Macaca fascicularis: one gene and its partners. The protein of the gene in region 1 interacts with the protein of each later gene in a pairwise test. Links are inferred from orthologs where the notes say so. Each region holds a gene or a part of one and is shown in the gene's direction. Other genes may lie near its edges.

Region 1 (3,758 bases):
GGCACAATCTTGGCTCACTGCAACCTCTGCCTTCCAGGTTCAAGTGATCCTTCTGCCTTAGCCCCACTAGTAGCTGGGATTACAGGCACGTGCCACCATGCCCAGCTAATTTTTGTATTTTTAGTAGAGATGGGGTTTCACCATGTTGGTCAGGCTGGTCTTGAACTCCTGACCTCAGGTGATCCACCTGCTGTGGCCTCCCAAAGTGCTGGGATTACAGGCATGAGCCACCGCGCCTGGCCAAGTCTGTCTTTCTTGATCTTAATTTTTCTCTCTGTAGCCAGGTATAGCTTCTGCGTTAGGGCAGTCAGTGTAAGATTTCAGCAAGAGTCTTTACATCAGAAGTTCTCATCAAGAAGACATACCATTGACCTTACCCGGTATGTCCCTAACCCAGCTGCTACCACAATGGCTTACTATGAAGGGGCATGCATCTAAAAATCTGCTGATGGCACCCTCAATTTACTCTTAATTCCAATGTCTGAGAAGTCCATAGCCTTCTCTGTGGCTTTCATTTCATTATCACTCACTTTGGCTCATAGCATGTGTGTGGAAGTAGGTGTTCACCATAATGCAGAGCTGAGAGAGGCCTCACTGCCAGCAACCAGAGCAATGGGGCTGGAGCCCAGGCCTCTGTCGCCAGGCTCACTATTCCCTCTGGCGTAATTGAAGGCCTCCCTGTGCTTATGGAATCTATGTAAAACTTGTTTAATAAGAACATGATAAATTTGACTTCATATCATAGGTGGAGAAACCAAGACAGACAGCACCCTATGAACTAGGGTTAGAGGTGCTAAAACTAGGAAGTGCTCCAGTCTCCTGATCTTTCCACCTCCCTGCAGGAGCTCTCTTCTCCCATCCCAAAGAATTCATCTGGAATATCAGCCCCTACGTGGGAGTCCCTGTTCATCCTACAGTTCACTTCCTCTGTTCCCTCCAAATTAGGCCTCAGCTATCAGTGATTTTTTTAATACCTGTTTTTGAACAAATAACATTTTTTTCTTTCTCACTCTTTTTTCCTAGAGCATCGATATTCACTTAAAAAAAGACATTCGGAGAGGAGTTGTCAATAACCAACAGATAGACTGGTCGTTCAAGTTGGATGGAGTTCTTCACGATGCCTCCCAGGACTTGGTTTATGAGACAGTTGCAAAGGATGTGGTTTCTCAGGCCCTCAATGGCTATAATGGTAACTTAATTAATTAACTGTTGTCTTATATAAGAACCTGAAGAGTAAGAGATGCAAATATTTTATGGTGAATAAAATAAAACCTCACTTACTATCATTTGTATGCTTATTTGTCTGTCTCCATGTTCTTACGTTGCAAAACTTACTGTTTGCTTGTTGACATTGTGGGCATGGCTTGATCCAATGTCCTGGGATTCTACCTTCATAGGAAAATTAAAAGATTGTAGCTGTCTATAGGTCACAGGGGTTCAATTATTATCCTGTTTCAAATCTCTCAAATATTAGTTTTGAAGATGCATCTTTATGATGAATTTGATGGAGTCCAAACATTTGTCTCTCAGCTTCCTGCTAGGAGCTATTTTCATTTATTCTACCAACACAATTAATGTACAGTTGATATTCTAGGAATATATAAAAGAATATATCACAGTTTGTAGACTTTGCCATCTGGTGGCTGCTGAGTAGGATGTTCCCTGTTTTGCAAGTTTAGGTTTTATATTTAAAAGTGTGTTGAGTGTAGATGCTGTAATTTATACTGAATCTGATACTTAGATGTGGTCCCCAGACTTAAGGAGGTTCTCTTTTGGTTTTCACGATGCTCTGAAGGGATTGTGACCTTGAGGAGGTGAAGACGGAGGAACTAAGGCCCAGGGAGATGAATAGTCTTGAGCAGAGGTGCTGTGGAACCACAGATGGGCTCTGAGTTGCAGCTGAAGTGCCTCCTTCCCATTCATCTGTGCTGGGTTAATAGATACCATTTCTGGCTCCAACTCAGATGCTGAATCAGGGTCCCTTGTGTAAAACCTGCTACCAGTCCCAAGAACTAGAGCGTCTGTGTGACAAAGGCAAAAAATTTCCACAGCCCAGCATTGCCTGGGCAGATCTGCCATGTAAATGCCCATGGGCAGTCTGTGGGATGGGGTCTGGCTCAGGCTGCCTATGCTAAGGGGAAGAACAGATAGGAACTTGAGCTCAGGGTGACTGCATGGTTTGCGTTCCAGAGCCTGGTGGTGATGGTAGACCTAAAGGATGTTGAGAAGTGCAATGAAAGTCTTCCCAGTGGGGGCAGTGGTCCAGATCAGGGCCTGCTCATGGCGGTACGTTTCTGGAAGTGACATGGAACCAACTAGGAGCCCTGTTTGATCCTGCGGGAATTTGTAGTCTACAAAGAATTCTCACCCTTGACAGAAAATGCGCTTTCCACTCCATCTCTTCCTGGAGATTTTGAAAGCCCCTCTTTGCCTCTGTGGGAAGTTGATGCCTCCTGCCAACCCTGAGACCCTGGCAGTTCATAGCTATGCTAGAGAAGGCTTGGAGTCTAATGCTCCTATCTCCCTCCTCATCTTTTTAGGAAAAGTTCCAGTTCCTCTGTACCCTGAGATTCCCTGTCCTTCTCAGAAGCCCTAGGGCAGGATCATCTCTTGGTGGAGGGAACAGCAAAGCATTGTGGGGACCACAGATTCAGGGCAGATGTCCTTGTTTTGACCACTTTTGTCCCTGCTCCCCTGCCCACCCATCCTCTTCCATGGTGGAATTCCTGATGTTCTTGGCTGCTCCCACTGGCCATCTTTATGCGAAGGGCCCTGGCTGGCATTAGGCATGCTGGGGGAGGGGAGAGTATCCTTGGAGCTATTTTCCTGGATGTCACCGTGTTTTGAAATGTTTGCAGGCACCATCATGTGTTATGGGCAGACGGGAGCTGGCAAGACATACACCATGACGGGGGCAACTGAGAATTACAAGCACCGGGGGATCCTCCCTCGTGCCCTGCAGCAGGTAGAGAGTGGGCCCAAGGGTGGGATGCCACACAGGTTCCCTCTCTCTGCCATAGATGTTACTGACCCCAGGCCAGCTACTAGAGACAGGGGGGACCAGGCCTCAAAGGAGTTGCAGTGGGTACTGGTACTGGAGAAAACATACACAGGGCTCTGGAGTCAGTAGACTCAGGGGCCTCAGGAAACCAGGAGGTTGGGTGTCAGACTCTGACCCATACCCGCACTGAGCCTGTTTCCTCATTTGGGAAGGAGGGAGTCAGGCATGCTAATCAGCCTCTTGCTGCTCCAATGGTCTGTGATCCTGTAATTAAGGATTTGGAGGTCCTAATCGTTCTCCTTCCTGGTTTTAATGAGGGGCATATGGACCCTTGCAGAGCTTCCTTACTGGCCTACTCTGGCTTTTTTTTCACCACCACAGACCCTGAAAGATCAAAAGCAAAAAGCAGGGCATGACCTGAGCTTTCAGGACTGTGTCAGCCCTGGGGGTCTCAATAGCATAACTGAAGATAGGACAGAAGGGCCTTCCTTTGGGCCCCACTAGCCTGGGTTCTGTAAGAACCCTCTGGTTGGAGGTAGGAGGCAAAAGACTTTCCCCGAAAACATCTTGGTGGCTTTACAGCCCTGTCCTATAACACTTTTGCAGCCCGGTCCTATAAGAAGTGTAGACATTCCTCTAGTATGTGAACCATCCATGTTCCTGTTTTTGGAGCAATATCCTTAATATCCCACTGTCAAAGCTTTAGTATCTCAGCATCTTAGACTTTAGTAATCTAGCCCAATGCCTCTAATAGAAA
Region 2 (4,529 bases), on another chromosome or scaffold:
AAGTAGAGTACAGCTGAGGATGCCACATCAATAAACCTATTCTGCTAATGAAAGATTAATAGAGAAAATAGGATGAAAGAACTTTGATCCCAGACAAGGAATACAGGCCCATTGGTTACAAGGACATAATTCAAGACCACAAGAAAATAAAAGTCTATTTTCCTCTGGGTGCCTTTTTTAAGCTGGGAGAAAATGGCATTATACTCACCTTGTTAATAACGCAGACACTCATTTAAATGCCACACATATTTAAAAATATATTTTATTTCCATTATGAACAAAAAGAGAGTAACAGCTGATGGTTGACTACAAGAAAAATAGAAGAGAAAAAGGAGAATGTCAATATTGCCCAGACAAGGAAACATAGTAAAAAATGAGTTGCATTGAGAAAGTGATCGAAAGAAAGGGATTCCGTTATTTCTGGGAGAAAAAAAAAAATGCATATATATATAGAATACACCTAGCAACGAGTTTGCTTGTATCAGACGGCTCTTGAGTCTGCACTTTTCTGGATTTAACTCTTGAGTGAGCCACAGAATTATCAGAGCAGGGCCGAAAGCCGAGTAACTATTCCTCTAAGTAGAACCAGAAACATTATTCTTCCCCAACTGCAATGAAGATTCTCTGGTGGGTGAATGGGCAACTGAAGGCCAGAGAAGTTCTATTACTTGCCCTAAATCACTCAATTAATTAGTGGTCATACTGGAATCAGAATCAATATTTTGCATTGTTAGGTTTTAATTTTGTTACATTTGCACTCTAACTCCACTGAAAACAGAAAAGAGAAATATGTAGTGCAATTTCTAAATTGCCACATCTGGAGCACTTCAAGAGCTACAGTTGTCCAGTTAAGACGGTAGTGTGTGTATGGTGCCGCCATGTTAATTTGGTGGAATAAAACCAGAGGTGAGTTAGGCCGGCGCGATGGCTCACGCTTGTAATCCCAACACTTTGGGAGGCCGAAGCGGGTGGATCACCTGAGGTTGGGAGTTCGAGAGCAGCCTGACCAACAGGGAGAAACCCCGTCTCTACCAAAAATATAAAAATAGCCGGCCGTGGTGGCGTGCGCCTGTAATCCCAGCAACTTGGCAGACTGAAGCAAGAGAATCGCTTGAACCCAGGAGGCGGAGGTTGCGGTGAGCCGAGATAGCGCCACTGCACTCCCAGCCTGGGCAACAAGAGCGAAACTCTGTATCCAAAACAAACAAACAAACACCAGAGGTGAGTTGAGCAGAAGAAACAAAGGTGGATTATTAGTCTTAAGTGGGCGTGTCTACTTCAGGAAGGAAGTGAAAGCAAAAAACTGAGAAACTAAGGGTGGGAGGGGGAATGAAAGGATCTCAGAATGTGGGTGTCGTGGGTGGCAAAAGGGATGCCAAGACACCAGAAGAGCAATACAAAACAGCTCCCGTGGATAGGCACGGAAGACCTTCCGCGCTGCTGGCCAGGCGACCCCGCAGGAAGTAGGAAGGACAAGCGCGCACTACAAGTCCCAGAAGCCCCCGTTTCCTGGAGCCCGCGCCGTGCCGCGCTACGCCCGCCGGGAGCCGGCCAGAGCGGCCAAGATGTCGCAGCCCAAGAAAAGAAAGCTTGAGTCGGGGGGCGGCGGCGAAGGAGGGGAGGGAGCTGAAGAGGAAGATGGCGCGGAGCGGGAGGCGGCCCTGGAGCGACCCCGGAGGACTAAGCGGGAGCGGGACCAGCTGTACTATGAGTGCTACTCGGACGTTTCGGTCCACGAGGAGATGATCGCAGACCGCGTCCGCACCGATGCCTACCGCCTGGGTATCCTGCGGAACTGGGCAGCACTGCGAGGCAAGACGGTACTTGACGTGGGCGCGGGCACCGGCATTCTGAGTATCTTCTGTGCCCAGGCCGGGGCCCGGCGCGTGTACGCGGTAGAGGCCAGCGCCATCTGGCAACAGGCCCGGGAGGTGGTAAGGTTCAACGGGCTGGAGGACCGGGTGCACGTCCTGCCGGGACCGGTGGAGACTGTGGAGTTGCCGGAACAGGTGGATGCCATCGTGAGCGAATGGATGGGCTACGGACTCCTGCACGAGTCCATGCTGAGCTCCGTCCTCCACGCGCGAACCAAGTGGCTGAAGGAGGGCGGTCTTCTCCTGCCGGCCTCCGCCGAGCTCTTCATAGCCCCCATCAGCGACCAGATGCTGGAATGGCGCCTGGGCTTCTGGAGCCAGGTGAAGCAGCACTATGGTGTGGACATGAGCTGCCTGGAGGGCTTCGCCACGCGCTGCCTCATGGGCCACTCGGAGATCGTTGTGCAGGGATTGTCCGGCGAGGACGTGCTGGCCCGGCCACAGCGCTTTGCGCAACTAGAGCTCTCCCGCGCCGGCTTGGAGCAGGAGCTGGAGGCCGGAGTGGGCGGGCGCTTCCGCTGCAGCTGCTATGGCTCGGCGCCCATGCATGGCTTTGCCATCTGGTTCCAGGTGACCTTCCCTGGAGGGGAGTCGGAGAAACCCCTGGTGCTGTCCACCTCGCCTTTTCACCCCGCCACGCACTGGAAACAGGCGCTTCTCTACCTAAACGAGCCAGTGCAAGTGGAGCAAGACACGGATGTTTCAGGAGAGATCACGCTGCTGCCCTCCCGGGACAACCCCCGTCGCCTGCGCGTGCTGCTGCGCTACAAAGTGGGAGACCAGGAGGAGAAGACCAAAGACTTTGCCATGGAGGACTGAGCGTTGCCTTTTCTCCCAGCTACCTCCCAAGGCAGCCTGACCTGCGTGGGAGAGACGTAGCGAGGTCGGAGGAGAAAGGGAGATCCCACGTGCAAGTAGGGGGAATATCTGTCTCCCTTTTCCCGCATAGCCTCTAGGGAGGGAGAGTGAGTTCATTCTCCATTTGAAGAGATTCTTCTGGTGATGTTTACTTAAAAAGTTATCCCCCTCAAGAACGGATACAGCGTGCTTATTATTGGGCTTTTAAGCCTCAAAGGCATGTAGTACCAAGCACTTGTATTTCCATATATTTTGTTTCGTGGGGGAGGGAGGCAGAAGAACACAGATGAAAATGTCAGTTTTTGAAGGGTCCATGCACATTCCTGACACCTCACACCTTATCTAAGTCTGAAGCTGAGGAGAAAGAGTTCTTTTAGACTTCATACATTTCCAATACGACTTTAGTATCTCTCCAGAGCCATATTTTCTCACTCTGAATTAATTCCCCATCCCTAGGTGCCTGTAGGCTATGAGACTTCCTCATTGTTTTCTAAGTAAACTTCACTACTGGTAATTAAGGGGAAGGATATGAGGAAGCAGTTTAAATAGCCCTGTTCTCATTACTCTTACCACATACATAGGGTGCTAAAGTTGATGAACACATTAATCCGTTAAGTAAAATGGTCTTTGTAATTGTACGGCGTATCTAAGAAACTCAGAAGGTGCATTTAGGAGAAAGACCTGAAAGACAGAAATAGTATGGATTCTTATGTAGAGGACTACAAAATTCTTGTCTCTACTATTACAACCAAAAAACAAATATTTCATGTATGTCCTATAAAAATATCAGTGTAATTCTTATGAAACAGGCTGGTAGAGGAGGTTTCTGAGCCTAGCCCAAGGGCTTATTCATCACCATGGGTAAATTATTTAAACTCACTTAATTAAGTAAAATATTTTCCCAGCTAGAAAAGTGTACTCATTCTCATTTAAACTCTCATTTGGAGGGATCATGTGAGTTGGCCTACTTACAAGTAGTGAAAGTTCCTTTTTTAGTTTAGTTTTTTTCTTTTTTTTCTCTTTCACGCAGCCAAATGTGAAAGTTGTGAATTTAGGAAAATCACTTATAATGAAGTATGAATCTTGTTATCACATTTATTTCACTGATGTTTCCCTCCTTATCCTTGTAGCTAATAAAACATTGACATTCTCACGTTTTATAGATGAAGTAAGAAGTCTTGTGTGCTGTCTATGAGTTATAATGCTTTTGCCTTTTTAATATTACCAGTTCTTAAGTGTTACAGCCCATTCAGAATATAACTTCAGGACAATTCAAACTGCTTAATGTATGATTTTTGAGCTTCTGTATGCTAAGAAAATAGGTGTGAAAAACTGGTGTTCTGAAATAGCCTAACATTTATTGTAATTCTGATTTTTCTGCCCTTTTATTCATTGCATATTAAAGTATTAGAGTATAAAAACTGATTTGCTAAACTTTGGTGGTATGTAACACAAGATCTTCCATCATGGAGAGACATACATGTACAAAATTATCAATTTACAAGATAATTGAGTAGCAAGCAGTACAGTTATAACCATCACCATTTTGATGCTAAGATAGTGATCATCTCCTGTAAATGCTACAATTACAGCAAGCTAGACTTGAGTTAAGCTAGCGGGAAAAAATAGCTCCTTATAAGGTGTTCTATGTTTTAAATCAAACATTTCTTTAGAATTTTAGGGTGTGATTTTGAGTAGGTTTCTGGTGGTTTGGTTTGTTTTTTAAAAACTTGATTTAACAATTCCTTTACTAAGTGATAAATGAGAACATTCTTCCAAATTCGATTTTTTATGTAT
Region 3 (4,235 bases), on another chromosome or scaffold:
GGTTTCACCATGGTCTCGATCTCCTGACCTTGTGATCCGCCCGCCTCGGCCTTCCAAAGTGCTGGGATTACAGGCGTGAGCCACCGCGCCCGGCCAAGCAGTCAGAGTTTAAGAGACTAGCACTGGTTAATGATGGAGCCCCAACATAGAGAAACAAGCTCCCAAAGCTAGCAGAATGAAGATGAGGGACAAAACTGTCATTACCTCTTCCTTGCAACAAAGTTTTTTGTTTGTTTGTTTGTTTGTTTGAGATGGAGTCTTGCTCTGTCACCCATGCTGGAGTGCGGTGGCACGATCTCGGCTCACTGCAACCTCCACCTCCTGGATTCAAGCCATTCTCCTGGTTCAGCTGCCCCAGTAGCTCGGATTACAGGCACGCACCACTATGCCCAGCTACTTTTTATATTTAGTAGAAACAGGGTTGCACCATGTTGGCCAGGCTGGTCTCGAACTCCTGACCTCGTGATCCGCCTGCCTTGGCCTACCAAAGTGCTGAGATTACAGGCGAGAGCCACCGCGCCCGGCCACAACGAAGAGTTTATCACCAACCTGATGTGCTCTCTTGAGGAATAAGTTTGTGGAACTCTTTTGCATTAATCTTTAATTAAGGCTAAAATCAAACCTTTGGCTATAACCATGTCCAGGTCTTTCTGGGGGAATTCTCAATGGGGGGCGCTAGCAGAGTAATCTGAGTACATCCAATATACCTGATACCTAATGGTTTTCAAATATGTTTCTACTTACCTGTTCAGAAGGCAAGGAAACACAACTAAATAGCAAAGCACCTCTGCAGTGACACAGAAGTGACATTAAGAGACAATTGTGAAGATCTTGCATCCTCAAAATGCATAATTATTCCTGAAATCAAAGTTACAGACTGTCCAATATGACTGATTATGAACAGGAGAGGAATCCATTAAAAGCTAAACCCAAGTTTTGATAATTTGAACCTTTTTCCTCCAGTTTTACTATAACACAGTACTTTTCAGTACCTGACCCCAGCATAAGGAACTAGGAAACTAATTTATAGAAGTAATGCTTCTATAGTAACAGTGAAAATCCACTGATTTACTATTTTAGCAAATGTATAATCTGATATCTGTACTCTAAATATTAGAGATGTAAATTTGTCAGAGGAAGCTTGGTATACAATGAATGCTTGTATTGGAAAAGACGGAACTTGCTGTTTTTACTAATTTTGTATTTCTCTGGACTTAAACTAGGAATTATGTTCTCTTAGCTTCTCTGGGTTTTCCTCTTCAAATGAAATGCTTCTGACCTGTAGAGGTTTAGAAAAGGTTATCCTCAACTAAAATAACTGCTTCAATACAAGGGAAAATTCTGTGGAAATCTTTTGCATTTGACGTTGCTAAACTTAAGTACAATAATGTCACATGTACTTATACAGTAATTGTGGGCACGCCTAAGTCCCTCCCTCTTTCCTAAACCAAATTCCCCAGATCCTAGAAATCCAGCCCTTCTGCCCTCCGGAGGCGCCTTTCCCAACGTAAAGTACAATTTTAAATTTCAGCTCCTGACTAAAATCATGATCCGCAGTCAACTGCTAGAGAATCTGGGCACCCCGGTGCCTCTGGAGCGTGCAGCGGGTGTGGGCAAGGGCAGGGGGAGTGGGCGAAGCTGCTGGTTGGTGCCTGAAATCTGTGCGTTGCCCCTTTAATTGTGTCCCCAGCCCTCGGGCGTTTCTGTCCAACGCCCACGTCAGCAAATACCTTTTGTTTCTCTCACGTTGGGGCTACTTGTTTTAGGGCGCAAAGGAACGGCCTCGAAAGGGGGTCCTTCCCCAGCCGAGAACCAAGAATCTTCCCCCGGCCCGCGCGCGCGACCGGCCGGTGCGCCGCGGCCCGCGGTAAGTGGCGGCGCGCGGCGCCGGCGGAGGGCGGGCGGGCGTCGGGGCTGCCCGGGACCCGCCGCGAGCCTGGCCGCGGGCGGAGGCGCCGCGGGCTCTCACGGCCCGGGCGGCGGCGGTGCTGAGATGCGGGCCCTGGGCGCGCCTCCCCAAGACGTCCCCGGGCCGGGAGCGCGGCGGGAGGCGCCGAGGCGAGCGGGCGCCATTTGCAGCCCGGGGCGCAGCGGCGGCGGCGGCGGCGGCGCCGGCTCCGAGGGGCTGTGGGCGGCCACGGAGGACGCGCGGGCGGCGGCGGCGGGCCGAGCCCGGGGCGGCGGCGGGCGTTGGTGGGCACCGGCTCCCGGCCGCCCCTCCCCGCGCCCGGCCGCGCCGCCCAGCCCGCCAGGCCGGCCCCTCCTGCGCGCCCGGGAGGGGCTGCGGGACAATGGCCGCGCCGTCGCCGCCCGCGCCCGCCTAGCCGCCCGGCCCGGCCCGGGGAAAGGCGGGAAGGCGCGCGGAGCCTCCTGGCGGCGGCGGCGGGAAGGCGGCGGGGACGGCGCCGGGCGTGTCTGGAGCCGTCGAGCGCCGCGGACTCCGGAGGGGCTCGGGCTGCGCGGCGCAAAAACGGGCGGCCGCCGGGGGGGCGCGCGAGGAGGGCAGGGCCGGGGCCGGAGCCGGAGCCTCTGCGGGCGCGGCCAGGGGCGCTGCCGGTGAGCCTGGCTCCCAGGGCAGTAGCCCGAATTTCTCGGTACAGCCTCCATCCTTGGTTTTATGTCAAGATGCGACATCGGGGCTTAGAAAACCGAGGGCTAACTCACCGCGCCTAACCAATGTTGAGCTCCAACTATTTGCTTCTGGACGGAACCGTACATGCTCATCTCTACCCATGCTGACCGCCTCTTTTGTGAGTTAGTCAGCGGCTTGTTCCCTTCCCCTTCAGATGCGCTTATTTATCGCTGATTGTTCCAATGGCCCTACTCCACATCATTCTGAGACGCGTTTGGAAGCGGTAGATTTACACACACACCTGGTGGGCTTCTAACCACACGTCAGTATCACTATGCTTGATAAACCTTTATATTTGCACAACTTTAAATGGATTGCTTTCACCTATATGAATTATTTCACTTAATTTCACATAAAACAACCACTTAGGCTGACGGTAATTCCACTTTGCAAATGAGGGAACACGTGTGAAGCATGGCGTTTCACCTCTAGGCCAGGGTGACATAGCCACCCAGGACCTCCTGTTCCCGTCCTGCCTTCCCTCCTAAGGTACCTCCAGAGGAGTCTTTAGAAGGGCCAATCTTACACAGCGCTTCCCTGCACTGAAAACCTTAACTGATCTTTTTCAGGAAAGCCTCCAAAATCCCCAGCAAGCTTCTGCTCCAGTCTTAATCTCCTCCATGCCTCAGGTATGGATGCATTTGTGGACTGGAGCAAGAGCCCCTCACTGATAAGCAGGGATCAGATGTCTTTATTCCTGGGAACCTCTCTGGCCACACAAGTGGCAACTGGGAAGTGAGAATCTGGCTTAGGGCCCTTGACCAAATGGGTGTCTGGGTGGATTGTGCTCAAAAATGTCAGCAGGAGGCATAATGAGTAGGGACTCCAGGAAGGAGGCCAAGCCACTAACCCTTATCTCCAAGCCCTGAAATCACCAGCTTTGCTGTTGATAATGATTTGAGGCCATGAAAAACTTTGTAAGATAGAGTAATATTGATTCATCCTGTATCATTTAAATATAATTTTTAGATACAACTATGTCTAATAGATTTAACTCAGTGACACAATGATATGTTAATCATATTTAAAGGATTTGATGTGTTTGATTCCCTTGAATGAAGCTTTTGTTACTTTTGTGCTCAAAATTGGTCAGTGGTTCCCCATCTTACGCAGTTTAAAAGCCAAAAGCTCCATAATAGTCTATGCAGCCTTACAGCATCTGGTCTCACTATGTCCTACTTCTCTCATGATTTGCTTTCCCTTTCTGACTTCATATCCCATTGCTTCCCCGCTGCTCACCTCAGGGCCTTTGCGCTTGCTTTTCCCTTTGCCTGAAATACTGTTTCCCCAGACACCCACATGACTCTTACTTCCTTTGGACTTTACCCAAATACCATCTTCTCAATGAGGCTTTCCCCAACTATAGTTTTGATTCTCTTAAGTGTTTTTATTCTAAATCTTTTCTGTCTCATGCCATTTGTGCAGCTATAAAAATACTTTGGGACTGGGTAATTACACAGAACAGAAATTTATTTCTCACACTTCTGGAGGCTGGGAAGTCCAGGCAGTTTGGTGCCTAGTGAGGGCTGCTCTTTGCTTCCAAGATGGCACCGCGTTGCTGCATCCTCTGGATGGGAGGACTGCTGTGTCTTCACGTGGCAGA

What was found.
Region 2: the proteins of KIF9 (region 1) and PRMT6 interact in a two-hybrid assay, tested with the Homo sapiens proteins (2 studies listed by BioGRID and IntAct). The link is inferred for Macaca fascicularis from reciprocal best matches to the Homo sapiens genes KIF9 and PRMT6.
Region 3: the proteins of KIF9 (region 1) and ZBTB8A interact in binary tests that used the Homo sapiens proteins (3 or more experiments, as listed by UniProt). The two-hybrid records come from large-scale screens. The link is inferred for Macaca fascicularis from reciprocal best matches to the Homo sapiens genes KIF9 and ZBTB8A.

Annotation. Positions count from the first base shown.
Region 1 is NC_088376.1:110,178,820-110,182,577, reverse strand, and holds part of KIF9 (kinesin-like protein KIF9), read left to right. Parts: intron 1-1,023; coding exon 1,024-1,189; coding exon of another isoform or gene 1,190-1,206; exon of another isoform or gene 1,207-1,286; intron 1,287-2,858; coding exon 2,859-2,965; intron 2,966-3,758. UniProt on the Homo sapiens protein: Essential for normal male fertility and for progressive motility of spermatozoa.
Region 2 is NC_088375.1:127,485,168-127,489,696, reverse strand, and holds the start of PRMT6 (protein arginine N-methyltransferase 6), read left to right. Parts: upstream 1-1,549; 5' UTR 1,550-1,565; coding exon 1,566-2,693; 3' UTR 2,694-2,949; intron 2,950-4,529. UniProt on the Homo sapiens protein: Arginine methyltransferase that can catalyze the formation of both omega-N monomethylarginine (MMA) and asymmetrical dimethylarginine (aDMA), with a strong preference for the formation of aDMA.
Region 3 is NC_088375.1:202,482,241-202,486,475, reverse strand, and holds the start of ZBTB8A (zinc finger and BTB domain-containing protein 8A), read left to right. Parts: upstream 1-1,435; 5' UTR 1,436-1,507; intron 1,508-1,735; exon of another isoform or gene 1,736-1,766; 5' UTR 1,767-1,867; intron 1,868-2,395; exon of another isoform or gene 2,396-2,750; intron 2,751-4,235. UniProt on the Homo sapiens protein: May be involved in transcriptional regulation.